2 linked regions of the Xenopus tropicalis genome follow. The protein of the gene in region 1 binds, or shares a complex with, the protein of each later gene. Links are inferred from orthologs where the notes say so. Each region holds a gene or a part of one and is shown on either strand. Other genes may lie near its edges. The genes, in order: clspn and chek1.

Region 1 (3,830 bases):
TAGTATATTACAGAATGACCAATTCTAAGCCACTTTTCAATTGGTCTTCATTATTTATTTGTTTTTATTTATAGTTTTTGAATTATTTTCCTTCTTCAAACTCTTTGCAGTTTTTAAATGGGGGTCATGGACTCCAGCATCCAAATAACTATTGCTCTGTGAGGCTACAGTTTTATTGTGGTTACTTTTTGTAACTTTCTTTTTTTATTCACGCCCTCTCCTATTCATATAACTTGGTAACTTGGACCCTAGCAATCAAATAGCTGCTGAAAATCCAAACTGTGGAGAGCTCCTAAACTGAAAATGAAATAACTAGAAAACTACAAATATAAAATGAAGACCAATTGCAAATAACTCTCTACGTCATAGTAAAAGTTAACTCAAAGGTGACCACCTCTTTAACAGGTAAGAAAAGCATTGTTGGTGGTTTAGTAAAATTTAGACCCTGAAGGTGAACAACCCCTTTAATCTCTCTCATGTACCTGGCTAGCAAGGCTTTCTGAGCCCTCCTATCTTTCTTTGGGTTCTGACAGAGATCTGACCAATACATACATTCAGACATTTTGGCACAAGCAATCCTTTCCTCTGGCTGTCAGTACAGCACTAAAATCACAAGTGGTAGAGACACTGCCTGCAAAAGCCAATAAAAGTTTACTTTCAAAATGGTTTGAAATAAAAAAAAAAAACACACCCTTTGTGCAGGTTTACGTTAATTTTGTGTGTTTCCTTACAATTAAATTGCTTTACTTCTTTTGTCCTAATTATTGATAAAATTCCCAGGCAATCAACTCTGGCCAAAGTGTCAAAAATGAATTTGGATTCTTAAAAAATATCATCAGCATTTGGGGGGAAAAAGGTTTCTTGACATGTTTAACCTTATAACTCCTTGCCTGCCTACTTTTTCCTTGTTATAACCTATACTCCTCCATGCTGCTTTTCAGAGAACAAGAAGAAGGGGAGGAAGAAGAATTTGGTGAATTCAAGCTATTACCCTGTGATTCAGAGAGTGACAATGTGAGTTTCTTTATGAACAGAAAATTAGTGTACATTTAAACCAAAATCTTTTGTATCTTATCCAGTGGTGTATGTTGCCCACAGCTGCAATTAAATAGCATTTTAGCCACTTTGCTTACTGGCCAACTCCCAACCTAAAGGCATGTCACCAGAATGTCTGAAATTGCTTTTAAACTGCCAGTCGACAATTTTTTGGCAGTAAGGACTGCATGGTGGTGCTGACATTTTCAGGTTACTGCCATTGCTTGCAGTGACCTTTAAGGTCTTTGTTGGGCAAAACACTTGTGTGATATAGGCCAATGGAAACGTATAGCACAAGATGATAAAAATGCCTGTTACAGGTTTTGTGTACAATTTTAAAAAGACAGTAGTTATATAAATCAATTGAAACTTTTTGATACTCTTAACCTGCTTAAAGTGTTAATATATAAAAGCTGACTTTTGTCAGCTTTTTTGTTAAGGTGTAGCTAGATATTGACACTCTGCAATAACCTTTTAGAACTTGTGGTATTTAATGCAACTTGTTACAACATAGGATGAAAATAATGAAGAGGAGGAAGGAGAAAAGGATAATGAAGATAATGAATATGAGGAAGATGAGGATGAAATTCTGCAGCAACAGCAAAAGAGAAAATTGTAAGTAAATATTGTTATAGTGAATGGTAACTTGGTTATGAATGGCACAACAGTACCTCCTGTTTTGGTTATGATGGTAATAATGAGCATCTAATTTTTTAGCAGGTTTTCGTTTATTCAAAAGGGCTAATTCCAATTTCTGAAATATGCTAAACTCTAAGGGGCAGATTTTTTAGAATGAGTTAAGAGCTCAATACATAAAAACTCAAGTACTTTCTATTCATTCCTAAGGATTTTTAGAGGCTTATTTATGAATAGGTAAAAGTAAGAATTTGACCATTGATAAATACGCTTCTTAAAATGCCATAAGAATGAATAGAACTTAGGTGCGTTTTTTATGTATTAAGCTCTAAACTCACATTTTGATAAATCTGCCCCTAAAGGTTCTGTTAAAAGCATAACTCTTTACAAGGGCATTTGATTTTTAGAAACTTGCATTATGTGGTGGTGTTAAAGCGGCCATGTTTTGCCCACCATTGAATCAGGCACCTAAAGTTTCTTATTAGGCTAGTTAGGGTTCTATTCCTAGAACCCCAAACCTCACCCTATATTCTTATTGAAATAGTGGCTATATGAGCATCTTAAAGAGAAAAAAAAATCTCATTAATTGTCCTGCAGGTGAAGACACTTCCAGTAACTGCTTAGGAGAAGTTTGGAAAATTATACTAACACATTTCCTGTCATTACCTCCACTACTTACCTGTATCAGAGCAATTAATGTGCACATGTCTGATTGGGCTGGGCAGTGCATAGATCTGATAGACTGGAGGTCAATGAAAACAGTATCTTTAGCCTGTTGGTGCATCTGCTTAAATTTGCACTGTCATGCAAAATTGTTTTTAAGATCCAATTCGGACTGAGACAAGCCCAGAGAAACTCTGCTTTTGCTTTTCTTGCTTCGGAAGGGTAAGCATTAAGTTGCAATTTAACAGCTGACAGACCTGCAACACTTAAGATGTGTATTGCTTTCCCCTCTTTAGGTTAATGCCACACAAAGCGTATGGTGCATATTATGGGGAGTATACGCCCCATACGCTTAAAGATCCCCCTACCTGTGCCTGCACCCAAATTTATTGAATACGCTCGGGTGCAGGCACATGTAGCCGATATCCGACTAAATACATGAGAAAATCAGGCACATGTAGCCGATATCCGACTAAATACATGAGAAAATCAGGCACTGCCACATCTATTGATGCATGGGAAACCTGAAGGTGCTGCCATTTCTGACCAGGCATTAGCTACAGGGTTCCCTCAGCTTCCCAAGAAAAGAAAAAAAAAAAGCTGTCTTCATTGCATTTAGTATATGTTAATATGTTGTATAATTAGGGGTCAGTGTTGTAGGTCTTGTATTGTCCAGTGCTGCAGAACTTTGATATATTTTGTAAATTTGGTCTGTGTTCCAGGCGGCTGAAGGACTTCATGGAAGATGAAGCAGAATTGTCGGGAAGTGATGTAGGTAGTGGAGATGAGTATGAAGGAGATGATGATGAATATGAGGAAGAAGCCATAGATGAAGATCTCCCATCTGATGAGGAACTGCAGGATCAAGTCAATAAAATTCATATGTAGGTGCTTACAGTTAAATTGTTATATACAAAGCCTTGCAAACAGTTTAAATTGTTCTTACATGCAAGCAATTTGAATAATTAAACTAGTCAAATTGGTGTTACCCTGCTTACAAATACATGATTTGGGCTTTTATAATAAAAAAAAGGGACATAAACATTATCTGCACTTGGAAAATTAAATAAACATTTTATCTTTTTTACACAGACCATGATACTCATACAGTCAATTTTTATTCCTCATTTATGTGCAGTGTCATGCAATCCCTTCCCTAACTTTTTCCACTATGAGGTAATGGATCACTAGATCTTAATCCCCCCTAGATTCCAGTGAATCTGTGTACCAACTACTATATAAAGGAAGGAGGGGGATACATTTTACTGTGACCCAAAGTGGAGGTGGGAGTATTATAGTCTGTGGAATCGGGTTTGTTTTTATGGGGAAAAAAATATATTTTTGGAAGTTCAAATATGCACCTTTTTTTTATAAGCTCAATTGAATGCGCTGATTTTACAAGGGGGAGTATGTTTTCTCTTATGTATGGCAAGTGTCTACCTTTTATTTCTTTGCTTTGTCATCACAGAGGCTTCTAAAATCAGTTGTCTATCAAC
Region 2 (3,830 bases), on another chromosome or scaffold:
AACAGAGGAGTCAGAGTCATGGAGTCGGAAGTATCAGAAACTGAGGAGTCGGAGTCGGAGAATTTATCTACCGACTCCACAGCCCTGGAAAATAGATGTTTGCATGTGCTATTTGTTTCAACTTTACATGGTTAGCAGTTTTAACATGGCCTGTGCTATTCAATTTTTGCCAACCTAGTTTTTTTTCTTAATTCTGTAGAATGTTTGGCAACGTTTGGTCAAAAGAATGACCAGGTTCTTTACAAAAGTGGATGCTGAAAGCTCGTACAGCAATTTGATGGACACTTGTGAAAAAATGGGATATGTTTTAAAGAAGTCTTGTGCTAACCAGGTGAGTACCCCCTCAATAAAGCTTCTAATCATATGATTTTAGGCTTACATTTTCCAAAACCCCAGTAAACAAGAAAAAGCATATAAAACAAACAAAAATACTATTTATTGTAAACACAAAAAAACTATAAAAGTAAAAAGTGTACATTAGTTTCTTCTATCCTTGTTTTTAGAAAACAATCTTATTTCCTATGGGTCAAAAATGTACATACACCTTGCAGACTGTTTTTGTCTTGACGATTGAAGGATCAAAGGTGATCTTAATCAATCTCTAAGCTATTACTGTAAAATTTAATTTTTCAATAAAAGTTGATATGTAAAAGCAATAATGATAGGCCAATTCTAGTAGTCTGAAAAGATTTAAAGGTCTTTGAAACTTGCTCTTCAAAAAAGCAGTAAACGAAACGTAAAGGTGTGCTTTTTAATGTTTGAAATTTTTACATTTCTGTTGCCATTTTAACAATGCCTTTTGGCTCTGAGGTATATTTTGGGGTAATAGTTCTTGTACAAGTAATATAGACCCTTAAGATCTTTGGCTTTTCAACACAAGCAGCAATTGTTGAAACTGAAACCTCAGGGTGTTTACATTTTTGGCTGGAGTGAGGCCAGGGAAAATAGTCAGAATAACAATTTAGGTACAGGTATGGGACCTGTTTTCCAGAATGCTCGGGATATGGGGTTTTCCAGATAAGGAATCTTTCTGTAATTTGGATTTCTATAACTTAAATCTGCTAAAAATCATTTATTGAATAAACCCAATAGGATTGTTTTGCCTTCAATAAGGATTAATTATATCTTAGTTGATATCAAGTACATGGTACAGTTTTATTATTACAGAGAAAAAGGAAATCATTTTTAAAAATTAGAATTATTTGCTTATAATGGAGTCTATGGGAGATGAACTTTCTGGATAAATGGTTTCTGGATAAGCGATCCCATAGCTGTAGTATAATTGGTGGAGCTTACTAATTTTCTTTAAATCATAAATGGCAAATTAGGAACATGGCACATTTTTTTATCAGACAGCAGTCACTGGATACTGTCCAGAAATACTATCCAAAAATCAGTACATATAAAGGGGCAGTTTACCTCCTTTTCAGCATCTATGAATAGGGCTTGTGCTGAACATAGTTTCTGCCTATTGTTGTATTCAACACAAAGGTCTATGGGTTTTTTTTTTCTTTTTGTTATTCCTATGAACACCACGGGTTTACTGAACAGTTACCAGATACCAGATGTGTATAGGTTTACCCAAGTATGTGGCATTTAGAGGCCCATAAATGGTGATGAGATGAGAGGCTTGATAAAGGGCTGGATTGAAGCCTGAAATGTTGCTTTTGGCACTGTAAAGTTTCAAATTTTTTCAAAACAACCGGAGTGCTGCTGTTTTCATCATTTTTGTACTTATTTGCCCGGGCAGTGGGTACAGCGTGCACCTGGGGCTACAAAAAGCTATTTTCACTGTGTAAGCGCATGTTAACTGATTCTATTTGCCATATTATCTGTCATGTTACTGCAAAATCAACACATTGACAGCATTTTAAGTGGGGTAAACCTAGAAAAAAGTTCTTTCCTAAACGTCTTGATTTTGATGAACTTTCTAAAAATCACCTCAAAACTTCCAGCATATTATCTCCTACAGGTCATTAGGTACCCTAGAGGTCTACAGAACAGTTTGATGCTCACTGTACATAGGTTTATCAAAGCACATGGCCCTCAGGAACCCCAAAATATACCTTATGCGCACTAATTTCATGACTTCCATTCACCTAATCCATAAACACACTGGCAGTTTTATGTGTGGTACAAACTGCAAAAAAGTAGGGTGACCTCTGAAAGCCATATATTTTAGAAACAGCGCAAATTTTGTAAGGTTAGCGGTTCTGAAAGCATTTTTAAAAATCGCCTAAAAATCTTGCAATTAGCCTCATTTATCTTGCAGTTTTTTTTTACATACAAAGGCAAATCACCCCAAATATGAACACCAGAAGTCTACTGAACAGTTTTATGCCCAATATTCATAGATATACCAAAGTATGTGAAATGTACAAACCCCAAATTAAATATAAAGCATATGACGTTTTCTCGTCTGCCAAATGAAGTTTTCTCGTCTGCCAAAATTAATTTCTGCAAAACGAGCCCCATGACTGCATATTGTATATATGAAAGACCCCCTAACTGTACAGAAGCTTACGGAAAACAATATGTTTTTGGAAAGTACACATTTTGACAGTTTCAACATTGGTGTAAAAAGGCGTCTTTACCAAAGTACCAATCTGTCTAAAAATGTTGCAATATGACGCATTTATCTTACACAGTTTCTTACATACAAAAGCAGTTTACCCCAAATATGAATGCCAGAGGTCTCCAGCTTTGTTATCACATTTGCATACGGAGTATACAAATGAGACAAAATTGCAAATTAAAGGCCCACCCAAAAAGAAACATTACATTTCACATACATACTGTGCAAGTGCAAACACATATTTTGCATATACCTGTACATACACAGAGCAATGAATAAATAATTATGTGCTAGAGAATTAAATCAATTTTCTTTAGTTTACGCTACCTGTTTAACAAACCAACAATTCCTAATTTGATTAGGAAAATAGGAATTGTTGGTTTGGTATATCTATGCATATGGTGCTTCAAAGTATGCATTATGTAGAGACCCCAAAATGAAAAAAATGTATATGAATTTTCTCGCCTGCCAACTCAGCTTTTGCAAACCTGGCTCCCTGACAGCGTATTATGTGCCATAACAGCCCCTAACTGTACAGAGGGTAACTGACAGCAGATGAGAGCATGTGCTGTAAACTGGAAGAAAAGAATATTGGTTGCTTATGCGATAATTTTTTTGTTTAAAGGACTGTTATAATATGTAGTCTAATTGTTTGTTAATACAATTACATTATGAAGTAAGTTAATACAAGCATTATTAGTATACTTGTTTTTCAAGAAAAAAACTGCATCTGTATAATTAGGTACTTTGTTTTTGTCTACTACAGGTCACCCTATCAACTACTGACAGAAGAAATAATAAATTAATATTCAAGGTGAACCTTGTGGAAATGGAAGACAGGATTCTGTTAGATTTTAGACTTTCTAAGGTATATTGAATGCTTTGGGTTTTCTGTTACTGCTACGCTGCCAGCTATCTAAAAGTGTGTTTATAGTCGACCCCTTGTCTGCCTGTGGCTCGCAAGTAACTGACTACCATCACAGTAGATTTCTCTGTTCTGCGACATGCAATTAAAATCTTACACATGCAGTTTTGACTGTGTATTAACTTTCAGTGCAGCCATTGCTGCTAGAATGCACTATGTATTGCAGTCATTGGTTTTTATATTTATGTTCATGTATTAATAACATTGGCCACCTTTAGCAGTAAAGGGGGGTGCCTAACATCTTAACACCCCCAATGATCCTTACTGTTCTTATCCTTTTATAAAAATCTACTAAAAGTTTGATTATCTTATCTATTACTTACAGGTAAA

What was found.
Region 2: the proteins of clspn (region 1) and chek1 are in contact, whole or in part, in a crystal structure (PDB 7AKO), measured with the Homo sapiens proteins. The link is inferred for Xenopus tropicalis from reciprocal best matches to the Homo sapiens genes CLSPN and CHEK1. Residues at the interface, in NP_071394.2 of Homo sapiens: Glu938, Leu940, Leu941, Leu943, Cys944, Ser945, Gly946; in NP_001107593.1 of Homo sapiens: Lys53, Lys54, Cys57, Met61, Arg129, Thr153, Val154, Phe155, Arg156, Tyr157, Asn158, Arg160, Glu161, Arg162.

The regions. Positions count from the first base shown.
Region 1 is NC_030678.2:81,812,436-81,816,265, reverse strand, and holds part of clspn (claspin), read left to right. Parts: intron 1-941; coding exon 942-1,014; intron 1,015-1,549; coding exon 1,550-1,650; intron 1,651-3,056; coding exon 3,057-3,218; intron 3,219-3,830.
Region 2 is NC_030683.2:74,045,629-74,049,458, reverse strand, and holds part of chek1 (serine/threonine-protein kinase Chk1), read left to right. Parts: intron 1-199; coding exon 200-331; intron 332-3,341; coding exon 3,342-3,443; intron 3,444-3,830. UniProt on the Homo sapiens protein: Serine/threonine-protein kinase which is required for checkpoint-mediated cell cycle arrest and activation of DNA repair in response to the presence of DNA damage or unreplicated DNA.